Anolis sagrei: one gene and its partner. The protein of the gene in region 2 purifies or fractionates together with the protein of the main gene of each other region. This does not show direct contact. Links are inferred from orthologs where the notes say so. Each region holds a gene or a part of one and is shown on either strand. Other genes may lie near its edges.

Evidence for each region. Proteins that work in one complex are often made in the same cells at the same time.
Region 1: the proteins of DHX9 (region 2) and HNRNPC purify together in Homo sapiens (affinity purification with western blotting; 5 studies listed by BioGRID and IntAct, with this or other methods). This does not show direct contact. The link is inferred for Anolis sagrei from reciprocal best matches to the Homo sapiens genes DHX9 and HNRNPC.

What each region holds. Positions count from the first base shown.
Region 1 is NC_090026.1:11,145,552-11,153,214, reverse strand, and holds the start of HNRNPC (heterogeneous nuclear ribonucleoproteins C1/C2), read right to left. Parts: upstream 3,066-7,663; 5' UTR 2,926-3,065; intron 1-2,925. UniProt on the Homo sapiens protein: Binds pre-mRNA and nucleates the assembly of 40S hnRNP particles. Interacts with poly-U tracts in the 3'-UTR or 5'-UTR of mRNA and modulates the stability and the level of translation of bound mRNA molecules. Single HNRNPC tetramers bind 230-240 nucleotides.
Region 2 is NC_090024.1:123,122,541-123,130,469, forward strand, and holds the start of DHX9 (ATP-dependent RNA helicase A), read right to left. Parts: upstream 3,078-7,929; 5' UTR 2,929-3,077; intron 1-2,928. UniProt on the Homo sapiens protein: Multifunctional ATP-dependent nucleic acid helicase that unwinds DNA and RNA in a 3' to 5' direction and that plays important roles in many processes, such as DNA replication, transcriptional activation, post-transcriptional RNA regulation, mRNA translation and RNA-mediated gene silencing.

The DNA of each region.
Region 1 (7,663 bases), on a different chromosome or scaffold from region 2:
CTGTGTGGGCTGCGCACTGCTAAGCCTGCAAAACTGGCCCAATAAAACCAGATCACTCAAGATTACATAAAGGAACAAGAAGAATAATGGATCATACCAAATCTTGGAACTAGTTCTTTGCTTTTCTTTAAAGGCTGGGTATCCTATACCCAAGATGTTAAGACCTAGAAACATTTCAGATTCGATATACATTGACAATGGAACACAAACCCAAAGTTCTCTTCTGTAGCATAAACACCTTATAGCTTGAAGGTAATTTTATACGCAACATCCTTAAATATTTTTATCCATCAAACAAAGTGTTTATCCAGTGAACAATCCGAAAGCAAACATGGCACTATTTCAGTCATCAACATGGACCATTTTTGAGTATTTCAAAATTTCAAATAAAGGATGCTCAAACTGTATTAAGGAATGTGATGGAGAGGGAGAAAAAGCTACACAGTGGCATTTTTTAACTCTTAGGAGATTTATTATTGCGTAATCATTCCTGGTCCATCCTCTTGAATCTTACTGCAACTGATATCAGCTTGCACTGAATTTAGTGAGGATTACTTTCACGCAAATTTAGGCAGGATGCACTGGGCTTAAAGGTCCTATCAGGCATTTTATTTATTGCTGCAACAACCTAGCAGGACTATGTGACACAAATATATTCACCCAAGAATAAGGATACTTCTAATTTCTGAACAGCATCTGACCACTTCAAGATCTTTATTACTTGGGAACAAATCATCCTCAAATTGCCTGTTGATTTATGCATGAAAAGAGATTCCATCGGAACATTAGGGAGAACTTCCTTACTAGTGTCTAGATCTAGGGAAGTCATACTACCCATGCTCTATTCTGCCTTGGTTAGACCACACCTGGAATATTGTGTCCAATTCTGGGCCCCACACTTGAAGCTGTGTCCAGAGAAGGGCGACTAAAATGATCAAGGGTCTGGAGAACAAGCCCTATAAGGAGCGGCTTAAAGAGCTGGGCATGTTTAGCCTGCAGAAGCAAAAGCTGAGAGGAGATATGATAGCCATGTATAAATACGTGAGAGGAAGCCACAGGGAGGAGGGAGCAAGCTTGTTTTTTATTTCCCTGGAGACTAGGACACGGAACAATGGCTTCAAACTACAAGAGAGGAGATTCCATCTGAACACTAGGAAGAATTTCCTGACTGTGAGAGCCATTCAGCAGTGGAACTCTCTGCCCCAGAGTGAGGTGGGGGCTCCTTCTTTGGAAGCTTTTAAACAGAGGCTGGATGGCCATCTGTCAGGGGTGTTCTGAATGCAATATTCCTGTTTCTTTGCAGGGGGTTGGACTGGATGGCCTATGAGATCTCTTCCAACTCTGTGATTCTATGACTGTGTGAGCCATTCAGCAGTGGAACTCTCTGCCCCGGAGTGTGGTGGAGGCTCCTTCTTTGGAAGCTTTTAAAACAGAGGCTGGATGGCCATCTGTCGGGGGTGCTTTGAATACAATTTTCCTGCTTTTTGGCAGGGAGTTGGACTGGAAGCCACAACTCTATGATTCTAGGCCATCAAATACTAATCAAGGTGGCCAATTGAAACACTCACACCTAGCTCCAACAAACAAGAGTTCTTTCTCCCACCCTGGATATTCCACAGATATATATACCCAATTTTCCTAGTTTCTAACAAACTTCACAATCTCTGAGGATGCTTGCTACAGATGTAGGCGAAACGTTAGGAGAGAATGCTTCTAGAACAGAGGCTGGATGGCCATCTGTCGGGGGTGCTTTGAATGCAATATTCCTGCTTCTTGGCAGGGGGTTGGACTGGATGGCCCATGAGGTCTCTTCCAACTCTATGATTCTATGTCTGTGAGAGCCGTTCAGCAGTGGAACTCTCTGCCCCGGAGTGTGGTGGAGGCTCCTTCTTTGGAAGCTTTTAAACTGAGGCTGGATGGCCATCTGTCGGGGGTGCTTTGAATGCAATATTCCTGCTTCTAGGCAGGGAGTTGGACTGGAAGCCCTAACTCTATGATTCTAGGCCATCAAATGCTAATCAAGGTGGCCAACTGAAACACTCACACCTAGCTCCAACAGACAAGAGTTCTTTCTCCCACCCTGGGTCTTCCACAGATATATATACCCAATTTTCCTAGTTTCTAACAAACTTCACAATCTCTGAGGATGCTTGCTACAGATGTAGGCGAAACGTCAGGAGAGAATGCTTCTAGAACAGAGGCTGGATGGCCATCTGTTGGGGGTGCTTTGAATGCAATTTTCCTGCTTCTTGGCAGAATGGGGTTGGACTGGATGGCCCATGATATCTCTTCCAACTCTATGATTATATACTCTGCCAAATCCAATCCCGCAGAAACACTATGCCTGTGTTAGTGTCATAATCCGGATTAAGATACTGCATAGGATGTGGTATAAACACCTTTGGGCCTCCTTTGCGCTCAGAGTAATGAACAGTGATGCCATTTCTTTCCTAATCCAATTGAAAACACCAATCTCTCATCCACCTCCAGCTCAAAGCGAAGAAGGATCCATTTTCTTTCATTCCCACCCGCCCTCCCTTTCCCGCACTATGGTATCTCCCAGAAGCCATTGGAACGAATGAGAATGGAACGTACCATTTGTACAGAGCGGGGGTGCAACGTTCGAAACCTCTTATTCTCCTCCAGCTCAAATCGAAGAAGGATCCATTTTCTTTCATTCCCACCCGCTCCCCCTTTTCCCGCGCTATGGTATCTCCCAGAAGCCATTGGAACGAATGAGAACGGAACGTACCATTTGTACAGAGTAGGGGTGCAACGTTGGAACATTCGAAAGGGGGGGAGCTGACATGGGGCATACCAAGTTGGTGCTGAAAGGGGGGGGGGGCGGGTTAGAAAGGGCGATACCATTCTTAGCCTCCAGGCCCCGCCCCCCTCCGCGCTTCTTTTCCCGAGCCACGAACTCACCGACTCGAAGCCGCCGCCGCTTTATTTGGTAATATACAGCTTTCAGTCTTTCGCACCAGGTACGTTTCCCACATCCACGCTTCGGATGGTTCACAAAATGGCGTCCCCGCCGCCCTCCACCTCTGCGCCGCGCAGCATAGCCACGCCCTCTTTTTCACGTTTCGCCTCCTCACGTTGGCGTTTCCCACCACCTCATTGGTCGCTTTCGCTGTCAATCAAACCGACGGCCAATCATATCCGCGCCGATGGTGAAGTAAACGGGGACAGTGCGAATAACAATCAGGAGGAATCCGGAGAGATTTGCAAAGCGAAAGGCGGGTCCTTAGAATCCAATAGGCTAAGAGTTCTGTCGGAAAGGCGGGTCCTTAGAATCCAATAGGCTAAGAGTTCTGTCGCTCAAAAGAGCTCTCATTCCGATTGGATAATTTGGTTGTCACTTTCGCAATAATGCCTTGCAATGATTGCCCTCATCTGCCGCCTATTTTCTCCCCGCCTATGTCCTAATAGTCCCTCTTGATTGGTTAAAATACTAACCAATAGTATCAGCGTAAAGGTTTACCATTTTTTTAAAAGGCAGCTTGACGTACATCCGGGTCCCTTGGGGCAAGCCTCTATTTCCTTTGGGCACTGGGCGAATGACGTCATCGAAGCTTCAGCTCGTGATTGGACAGCTGGTAGAGCTCAAGTTTGAAAAACACACACACACTAGAGAGGTGTAGTTTTACAAGGTCTTTAGCATTTACAAGGTCTTTAGCCTTTCTTTTATACTCATGGTTTAAAAAAAATGCTTTTGTGCTTTGTAAATACTTAATAAAGATATATCTATATAAATAAAAATGTAATGTTAGTTTGTGCTACCATCAGAACTCAAAAACCACTGGGGGAATTGACACCAAATTTGGACACAAGACACCTAACAGTCCAATTTATGTCCTCCACTCAGAAAAAAAATGATTTTGTCATTTGGGAATTGTCGTTGCTGGGATTTATAGTTTACCTACAATCAAACAGTATTCTGAACTCCACCAATGATGGAATTGGGCCAAACTTAGCACACAGGGCTCCCATGACCAACAGAAAAAAACTGGAAGGGTTTGGTGGACATTGACCTTGAGTTTGGGAATTGTAGTTCACCCACATCCAGAGAGCACTGTGGACTCAAACAATGATGGATCTGGACCAAACTTGGCACGAATATTCCATATGCCCAAATATGAACACAGATGGAATTTAAGGGAAATAGACCTTGACATTTGGGAGTTGTAGTTGCTGGGATTTATAGTTCACCTACAATTAAAGAGCATTCTGAACTCCACCAACGATGGAATTGAACCAAACATGGCATACCAGACTTCCATGACCAACAGAACACACTGGAAGGGTGTGGTGGGCATTGACCTTGAGTTTGGGAGTTGTAGTTCACCTACATCCAGAGAGCACTGTGGACTCAAACAATGATGGATCTGGACCAAACTTAACACAAAAATTCCATATGCCTAAATATGAACACAGATGGAGTTTGAAGGAAATAGACCTTGACATTTGGGATTTGTAGTTACTGGGATTTATAGTTCACTACAATTAAAGAGCATTCTGAAACCCACAAACAACAGAAATGGGGCAAACTTCCCACACAGAACCCCCATGACCAACAGAAAATACTTAAGGCCATCCAGTCCAACTCTCTTCACCAGGGCAAGAAAATGTAATCCGAGCCCTCCCGACAAAGAGCCATCCAGTCATAAATATAGATAGATAGATATGATTTTCTCTCACACACACACAGATATAGTATCACAGATTTGAAAGAGACCCTTAAAGAAGGACAATGATATGTTGCATATTCCAGAGTAGGCAAACCAGACACTCTCCACATCAACACTGACAAAGAAACAACAAGAAATACTGTTTACTCACAAACATAAAAGAATTACATATATTAGAAACCAACACTTTCTCATTACTTTATTTTCCAGATCAACAGACTGGGCCACAGCAACGCATGGCAGGGGACAGCTAGTATATGTATGTATGTATTAAAGATGCCATTATATTGTTGGTTGCATTCGGTGAAAAGACACAGCCATGCCAGCATTATCTGCATTATCAAACTACAATTCCCAGGATCTCATAGCATTGGAGCCATGGCAGTTAAAGTGATGCCAAACTGTATTAATTCTACAATGTAGATGCACCCTGTGACTATTGCATTTCACAGCTGTTTGGAGTTTTGAACTCAGGCCTTCCTGATACATTTGACCAAAAAAGCCCTTCACCTGAAATTTGAAAGCTGGTCATTTATGAATTAATTGAAATCATTTATGAATTAATCCAACAGTTTATAAAAATAATAATACAAAACAAATAATACACAATGAATACAATAAAAACTAAGCCCTTATATTGTACATTTTTTATCATGTTAGGAGCGAACCAAAACAGTTGTATTGCAAACAAAACACAAAGTTTGCAGGCTTGGTATTCTATTAATTATTCTTTGACTAGTATCTGGCCACTTGGAGTGCCTCTGGTGTTGCTGCAAGAAGGTCCTCCATTGTGCATGTGGCGGGGGTCAGGTTGCATTTCAGGTCTGTAGTTTGTTCTTCTCCACACTTGCATGTCGTGGATGCCACTTTGTGGCCCCATTTCTGAAGGTTGGCTCTGCATCTCGTGAACAGATTATCTGTTCAGCGCCTTGTATTGTAACATGTATCTACATGTTTCCCTGTACAAACATGCACATATCACTGTATATGTATACACAAACAGATTGACACCTGATGAATGGATTTTCTTCTACTGTACATGTACAGCGTCGCCCTTAATGCTTTCATACAGTGGCTGCATACGGCAGGGACACGGCCACTGCCATTTTTGAGTTCCCCCCAAATTATGCAGCAACCACAGATTCTCCAATCCGGATTGGAAATTTCAGCACCCACTCTATAAGACTACTCCCAGCGTATAAGACTACTCCCACATATAAGACAACTCCCACATATACTATTCCCACGTATAAGATGACTCCTGCGTATAAGACGACCCTTGACTTTTGAGATTTTCTTGGGTTAAAAAGTAGTCTTATACGCCAGAATATACGGTAGATTATATGGCAGTTTCTATTCAGCCTAAATCTTATATGGTCCTTGGCTGGATCTACACCGCCATATAACCCAGTATCTGATTATACATTTTGAACTCGATTATATGAAACTACACTGCCATATAATCCAGTTCAAAGTAGATTATCTGGAATCGGATACTGGATTATATGGCAGTGTAGATGGGGCCCTCCAGGTAACAGAATAGTGAAAATGACTGTTATACAAGAGTGGAAAGGCTTGCTGGAAACAGCAGGGTTTGGTAGAAGATTATCAGATTCAATAATAGGAGAAAACCAATAATCAAAATCAATAGAATGCTGGGAGTAATACAGGTTGACATCCCTGACCTGCATATCCCAAATCTTAAATGTTCTGTTATTGAAAGCCAGGACAACCAAAACCCATGACTCTGAGGGTACCCAGAAACTTTCCCCTACTTTCAGGTGGCATCCGAATGAATTTGTCAAAGTTAGACAAGCAGGTACACATAAACCCTAGGGAAAGTCTCACCATTTAGCTCGAGAATCTCATAATGGATTTAAGAAGACTCACAGGGATTTTCCAAAATAGTATGCATCTGTGAAATCTTTCCAATTCTAATCGCCAGATCACATCCCCTCCCTGGGGACCCCATTGAGGCTGTGCCAACACCCCTGGCACCCATTATATCGCCAACCAAAACCCATTGTCCTGTTCCAGATGGACATGAACAGAGCTATCAGCTCCATTAACACCAACCCAGCCCCCATTTCTTTCCTCCCGTACCCCTTTCCTTGGTGGCGTAAAAACCAGCCAGCAGTTTTCAAATCAAACAATGAGACTTTATTAAATTTCATGTCAATTATTTATTTATTGACTTCATTTCTATCCCACCTTTCTCAACCTGGGAGCAGACTCAAGGCGACTTATAAATCCAGCAAAAATTCAGTGCCACACAGATAAACAATAAAACACATCTCATAAAAATATAAGCAATCTAAACATATAAGCAATTAAAACATGTAACAATCTATTAAACAGACTAAAATGCCGAGTCATAATCTCATATCCAGTCAACAGCAGACGGCATCAAGTTTCCAGAAACCAGTAAGCTTATCCTAGCTTGCTCCAGTCTGGACTAATCAGTAGCCAGAGTGGCAAAATCCTTTGTTTCAAACAGCTGTCACAGTGCTAGAAATAAATCATATGTTTGGAATTGCACTTACGTCAGTTTTTGGAGCACAGATATCCACTTTGGTCAAGGTGAATAAACACCTCTGTTCCTTGCCTTCAATTCCTCCTTGTTGTATTTGGTCCTTTGGGAGCTGAAATCACTGGACAGTTCCAAAATCATTCCACATGGATGGCTGAGACCTTAACTTTCTGATTGTTCAATGGACACCAACTTTCATGCACCAAATGATTAAAAATACAGTACTGTAGACTCTCAGTTGACTGGCACCCATTTGGTTTGGTAGATGCCAGATAAATGCAGTTTCTGGTTGGTTGAGAGTTACTATTAAAATAGGCTTAACTAATATTATACCCCATACTATACTATACCATAAAATCTGTTTGGACTTAATTTGAAATACAACAATTCAAGCAAATTAGAACCATAACAACAAACTAAACTTAATGTAACACAGTTTTAT
Region 2 (7,929 bases):
TTTCTTTTAAAATGTTGTATACATTAACCTTTAAGCATTGTATATGTGTATAAGGTACATTAAGGTACCCTGCATTTCAGGGCCCTTCCACATGGCCATTTAACCAAGAATATCAATGCAGATAATCCACAATATCTGCTTCGAACTGGGTTATTTGAGTCCACACTGCCATATAATTCAGTTCAAAGTGGATTTATACAGCTGTATGGAAGGGGCTTCAGAGAAGGGATACTCTGTCTGCAATAACCCTATAGTATAATATTTGGAAATACAGCTAGAAGAGAATAACTAGGATTGAAGTGTACTTTGGGAAATATAATATAAAATGAGGAAATTGTGGCCCTTAGATGGCTAGGAAATTTAGGCTGGATCTACACTGCCATATAATCCAGATTTTCAAATCAGATAATCCTCATTCTCTCTTTGAACTGGATTATATGAATATACTGCCACATAATCCAGTTCAAAGAAGATAATCTGAATTTTATATGGCAGTGTAGATGGGACCTTAGGATTCAAATACAACAGTCAGCAAAAGATTTGTATTAAAAAACCACACTTATTGGACTGAAACACAGGTGCTTATAATTAAAATGCCTTCTCCATTGCCTTCCCCATCCAATACAAAGCCAACAGCAAACGACTGAAAGGAGGCACGCTTGTCTCTTCTACTCATACCCCTTTTACACGACCATATAACCCACGTTAACTGCTTTGAACTGGATTACATTTTTTTTACACTGCCATATAACCCAGTTCAAAGCAGATAATCTCAATTTTATATGGCAGTGTAGAAGGATTCCCAGATAAATGATACTTTGCTCTTCTCTAAATGCAAAACAGGAAGCCTCACATCAATACAGTAAAACCAAGTATCACTGTTTCCCTCCCAGGCCCCTTCTACACATCTGTATAAAATTCTGATTATCTTTGAACTGGATTATATGGCAATGTAGACTCAAGATAATCCAGTTCAAAGCAGATAATGTGGATTATATATTTTATATTAAATGTAATATTACTAATAATATTACAGGATAATGTTACCGTGCAATGTAATATATAATATTAATATTGTGCTATGATAGCAATATAATATATTGTATTTACTTTTTACTTGTAAGCCATTCTGAGTCCCCTTCGGGGTGAGAAGGGCAACATATAAATGTTGCAAATAAATAAATATTCTGGATTATATGGCAGTGTAGAAGGGCCCCCTCCAAATGTGTCCTATGAGGGGACTTCTTGTCACGCAGTGTCTCCACACAGCCATATAAGCCAGAATATCAAGGCAGAAAATCCCACAATATCTGCTTTGAACTGGGTTCTACACTGCCATATAATCCAGTTCAAAGCACAAAATATGGGATTTTATTCAGTTGTGTGGAAGGGGCCTTTGTGACTTGGTTTTTCTGTCCTGACAGAGCAAACAAGAAAAGCATCCAGGGCCTTTCCACACAGCCATATAATCCAGAAAAATCCACAATATCGGCTTTGAACTGGGTTATTAATCCTCAAGGCCTTTCCACACATAATAATAATAATAATAATAATAATAATAATAAACCTTTATTTGTACCCCGCTACCAAATTAAACATGAGCCAACAATGTGATGTGGTGGCACAGAAAGCCAATGGGATTTTGGCCTGCATCAATAGCATAATGACTAGGTCCAGGGAAGTAATGCTACCCTTCTATTCTGCTTTGGTTAGACCACACCTGCAATATTTTGTCCAATTCTGGGCACCACAATTCAAGGGAGATATTGACAAGCTGGAATGTGTCCAGAGGAGGGTGACTAAAATGATCAAGGGTCTGGAGAACAAGCCCTATGAGGAGCGGCTTAAGGAGCACCCCTGACAGATGGCCATCCAGCCTCTGTTTAAAAGCTTCCAAAGAAGGAGCCTCCACCACACTTCGGGGCAGAGAGTTCCACTGATGAACAGCTCTCACAGTCAGGAAGTTCTTCCTCATGTTCAGATGGAATCTCCTTTCTTGTAGTTTGAAGCCATTGCTTTGCGTCCTAGTCTCCAGGGAAGCAGAAAACAAGCTTGCTCCCTCCTCCCTGTGGCTTCCTCTCACATATTTATACATGGCTATCATATTTATTTATTTATTTCAGTTTTGTATACCAAGCTTCTCAACCTCGTTGAAGGACTCAGCCCTGTTTACAGCCATAAAAACATATACATTCATTAAAATATCATATATCACAAATTACAAAACAACTTTAGAAACACTAAATATAAAACTACAGTGGTCAGTCGTCCTAATAAGATGGATCTATATCCACTTCCATCCAGAGTCCTATGGTGTTGTCTCTTTCCTCGAAGGCCTGACTCCACAGCCACGTCTTCACCCGTTTCCTAATGTTAGGATGGATGGGGCGGTTCTGGCCTCCACAGGGAGAGAGTTCCAGAGTCGTGGGGCCTTCCTCTCAGCCTTCTCTTCTTTAGGCTAAACATGCCCAGCTCCTTAAGCCGCTCCTCATAGGGTTTGTTCTCCAGACCCTTGATCATTTTAGGTTTATTAGTCCTCAGGGCCTTTCCACACAGCCATATAATCCAGAATAATCCACAATGTCGGCTTTGCACAGGGTTATTAGTCCATACGACCATATATTCAAGTTCAATATGGATTTTCTACAGCTGTGTGGAAGGGGTCACAGTTAGGGAAATCCACCCTCTGAGGAAACCTGAGGCCGGCGTATAAAAACCCAGCATGCACAGCTCCAGCCTCCCTCAACTTCTGCGCCTGCGTGTTTTTGCCATAGTCCCTTTACCGGCTCCCTAGTTTCACGCGCATGCGCACTAGCTAAGGCGGGCCGCACTCTGGCGCATGCGCACATTCTCCCCGGCCTTTTCATTCCCCTGCGCCCCTCGTTCCCTCCCTCCTGCTAAGGCTCTGCACCCCAAATATCAACACACCAGAGGCACGCCCGCCACCTAGTCCTGCTGGGGAGAGCTTTGCTTCAAGCGCAAGCCAGCTCCGCAGCCTTCCACCTCGAGCAGCTCTCTTCTTGCCGACGCCAGCTCTCACAGAGTGGCAAGATGGCGGCAACCGCTTCGCGCATGCGTACACCTCACTGCGCCTAGGAAGGCGTGTCTGCACTCAGGGAGGAAAGCGCGCCCCGGGTGGACGGAGGTGGAACTACACTGGTCTCTTCTGCACAACCACTCAGAGATGTAGAATCATAGAATCAAAGAGTTGGAAGAGACCTCATGGGCCATCCAGCCCAACCCCCTGCCAAGAAGCAGAAATATTGCATTCAAATCACGCCTGACAGATGGCCATCCAGCCTCTGTTAAGTCCTGTCTTGTTTCCACAGTGGCCATCCTACTGTTAGTCTCCTGTAGCACGAACAATAGCCAGAAAAGTGCCATAACACTTAACAGTTCTGTACATTTTTAGTGTTTACTAGCCATCCCCTGCGACGCGTAGCTGTGGCCCATATGGGGGTTCTATGTGGGAGGTTTGGCCCAATTCTATCATTGGTGGGGTTCAGAATATTCTGTGATTGTAGATGAACTATAAATCTCAGCAACTACAACTCCCAAATGTCAAGATTCTATTTTCCCCAAACTCCACCAGTGTTCACATTTGGGAATATTGAGTATTCGTGTAGAGTTTGGTCCTGATCCACCATTGTTTGAGTCCACAGTGATCTCTGGATGTAAGTGAACTACAACTCCAAAACCAAAGGACACTGCCCACCAAACCCTTCTGTTGGTCATGGGAGAACTGTGTGCCAAGTTTGGTTCAATTCCATAGTTGGTGGAGTTCAGAATGCTCTTTGATTGTAGGTGAACTATAAATCCCAACAACTACAACTCCCAAATCTCAACATTCTATTTCCCCCAAACTCCACCAGTGTTCACATTTGGGCATATTGAGTATTCGTGTAGAGTTTGGTCCTGATCAATCATTGTTTGAGTCCACAATGATCTCTGGATGTAGGTGAACTACAACTCCAAAACCAAAGGACACTGCCCACTAAACCCTTCTGTTCGTCATGGGAGAACTGTGTGCCAAGTTTGGCTCAATTCCATAGCTGATGGTGTTCAGAATGCTCTTTAACTGTAGGTGAACTATAAATCCCAGCAAAGGCACTGCAGACTACTTCAACCAGAGAAATCAGCCATAGCAGAGCACCTGATGAACCAACAGTATCCAACCTGGACACAGCATTTTATTTGAGAACACAGAACACAGAAATGCTGGACCACTCTCACAACCACCATGTCAGGGTACACAGAGAAGCCATTGAAATCCACAAGCATGTGGACAATTTCAACAGCAAGGAAGAAACCATGAAAATGAACAAAATCTGGCTACCAGTATTAAAAAACTCAAAAATTACAACAGCAAAACAACAGAGAGTAAACAATCAGGCACATCTTAACACCTCTCAACAAAAGATTTTTCCAGGCTCAGCCAGGCCTTCAAATGCTAATGAAGGTGGTCAGTTGAAACATTCACACCTAGCTCCAGCAGGGAAGAGCTCCTTGCCCCACCCCAGCCATTCCACAGATATATTAACCCACTTTCCTATTTCCAACAGACCTCACTACCTCTGAGGATGCTTGCCATAGATGCAGGCGAAACGTCAGGAGAAGTGCCTCTGGAACATGGCCCTATAGCCCGAAAAAACCCACAAGAACCTAGTGCCATAACACTTAACAGTTCTGTATATTTTTAGAGTTTACTAGCCATCTTCTGCCACACGTTGCTGTGGCCCACATGGGTGTTCTGTGTGGGAGGTTTGGTCCAATTGTATCATTGGGGGGTTCAGAACGCTCTGTGATTGTAGGTGAGCTACAACAACTACAACTCCCAAATGTCAAGATTCTATTTTCCCAAAATGGCAAAATAAACTCCCAGTAAATAAAATAGACAAGCTCCCAATAGGTTCCTTAGACAACAGAAAACCCCAGCTATATCGCAACATGCTAAAGAAACTGGAACAAAACGGAATAACAAAGATTGAGGACTTACTAAAACCAGACGGGACTGTAATTCAATGGGAGGAAATAAAAGATAAATGCGGGCATGGAAATTGGTTACAATGGGGAGGGCTGTCTAAAAAGCTAATAGAATTGAAGAATAAGGAAACCTCAGAAACAAATCTCGACAAAATAATAAAATGGAAAGTAGAGAGGGAGAAAGGAATCATGGGATTTATATATAACACAATCACCGAAATACAATACAACACAAAATCTACCCTAATGGAAGTCTGGAAGGAGGAATTAAATTGCAGTGAGAGAGAAATAGACAATTGGATTAATTCAATCAATAAAATAAAACACCTAAAGATTAAAGAAATGCAACGAAAAATATTGACAAAATGGTACAGAACTCCTGTGCAACTGGCGCATATCACAAAAACATGCCCAAAATTATGTTGGCACAACTGTGGTAAAATAGGAACATATGCCCACATGTGGTGGGAATGTGAAAAAATCCAAAAGTTCCAAGAAATAATCAGGAAAGAAATGGAGGAGCTATTAGGGATCAAGATAGAATGGAATAAGGCCCAATTTTTCACTCAGAAATTCGAAAATAAAGAGGAATATAAGGAAAGTGAGGAAATAATAAAACATATGATAGAGGGAATTAAAGCCTCAGTGGCCCTGGGCTGGAAAGACCACAAGAAATGGGATACAAAAACCTGGTACAAATATTTAGCAGATTACCTTCTTCAAGATGATATTAGCGAAAGGAAAAGTTACTATATGACGGGTCAAAGCAAAAAGACATGGAAAGCAAAATGGAAGGGTCTCATATATAGAATAAAGGGGAAAGATAAATATACGGTGTTGAACAAAACTATTCTCATGATTGAACAATTGTAATAAACACAGCTAAAGTATCTATTTGTTCCGGGGGGGGGGGGGGTGTGCTGGTGGCGGGATTGGGGAAAAAACTGGTATTATGAATGTTATTTTCAAAGATGGAATGTTTCTATGTATTATACAATAGTAATTTTGAATGTTATTTTCAAAGATGGAATGTTTCTATGTATTATACAATAGTAATAACAAAATTAAAAAAAAACCTTAAAAAAAATAAAAAAAAACATCTTAAAAAAAAAAAAGATTCTATTTTCCCCAAACTCCACCAGTGTTCACATTTGGGCATATTGAGTATTCGTGTAGAGTTTGGTCCTGATCCATCATTGTTTGAGTCCACAGTGATCTCTGGATGTAGGTGAACTACAACTCCAAAACCAAAGGACACTGCCCACCAAACCCTTCTGTTGGTCATGGGAGAACTGTGTGCTAAGTTTGGTTCAATTCCAGAGTTGGTGGAGTTCAGAATGCTCTTTGATTGTAGGCGAACTATAAATCCCAGCAACTACAACTCCCAAATGACAAAATCAATTTTTTTTAGTGAAGGACATACATTGGATTGTTCGGTGTCTTGTGTCCAAAGTTGGTGTCGATTCGTCCAGTGGTTTTTGAGTACTGTTAATCCCACAAACGAACATTACATTTTTATTTATATAGATTAGATACCATACTTTGAGTAACTTTCCAATGAGGATTGGAAGGAAAAAATGTAGGCAAAGGCATTCGACACAGTGAATTGCAGTGCTATCTCGACCATCCTCCAAAAAATCCGGTGCCCTAACAAATTTGTGAACATCCTGTGGCTCCTCCATGGTTTTTTTTTTCCGTGTCAGGAGCGACTTGAGAAACTGCAAGTCGATTCTGGTTTGAGAGAATTGGCCGTCTGCAAGGACGTTGCCCAGGGGACGCCCAGATGATTTGATGTTTTTGGCTCAGTGGATTAAACCCCTGTGCCAGCAGGTCGCAGGTTCGAATCCGGGGAGAGGTGGATGAGCTCCCTCTGTCAGCTCCAGCTCCCCATGCTGGGACATACATCCTTGCCGCCCTACATGAGAGCCATGTATGACTTAGGGCCTTTTACTCAAGCACTTAAGACCTGGCTTTTTACTAGAGCATTCGATCCCTGTTAATTTTTAATTTTTGTATGTATTTTATCTTTTACAATTTAGCTGTAAATCGCCCAGAGCATTCTTGGATGGAGGGCGATTAATAAGTAATTAAATGATGATGATGATAACATGAGAGAAGCCTCCTCCATGATGACATGATGGCAACAGTCTTGGATAGCAATGGCTCCCAAAGTGACCCATTTAAGGTAGAATCAGGTGTCAAACAGGGATGTGTTATTGCCCCAACCTTATTTTCCATTTTCAATGCTATAATACTTCTTCTTGTTGACGGAAAGCTTCCCACCTGAGTAGAAATCATCTATCGGACAGATGGTAAGCTACAGGTTCTTGTGGGTTTTTTCGGGCTATATGGCCATGTTCTAGAGGCATTTTCTCCTGACGTTTCGCCTGCATCTATGGCAAGCATCCTCAGAGATGGTAAGCTATTTAACCTCAGCAGACTGAAAGCTAAAACCAAGGTTACAACAACATCTGCTATAGAACTTCAATATACTGATGACAACATCATCTGTGCACATTCAGAAGAAGACCTACAAGCCACTCTAACACCTACGCAGAAGCATACAAGAAGCTCGTCTTGTCATTGAACATCGAGAAAACCAAAGTGCTCTTCCAGCAGTCACCAGCCAATCCCTCTCCAATGCCAGAAATACAGCTTAATGGTGTAACATTATATTGCTTTCAATTGTGTTGTTGTTTTATCTGATGTTTTAATTGGTTAAAGTGTTTTACATGTGTGTTTTAATTGTAATCTTGGGGGTGTCCCTTGTAAGCCACACCGAGTCCCCTAGGGGAGATGGTTGGCGGGGTATAAAAATAAAGTTATTATTATTATTATTATTATTATTATATTATAACATTAGAAAATGTTGATCATTTCCGCTACCTTGGCAGCCACCTCTCCACAAACGTCAACATTGACACTGAAATACAACACCGCCTGAGT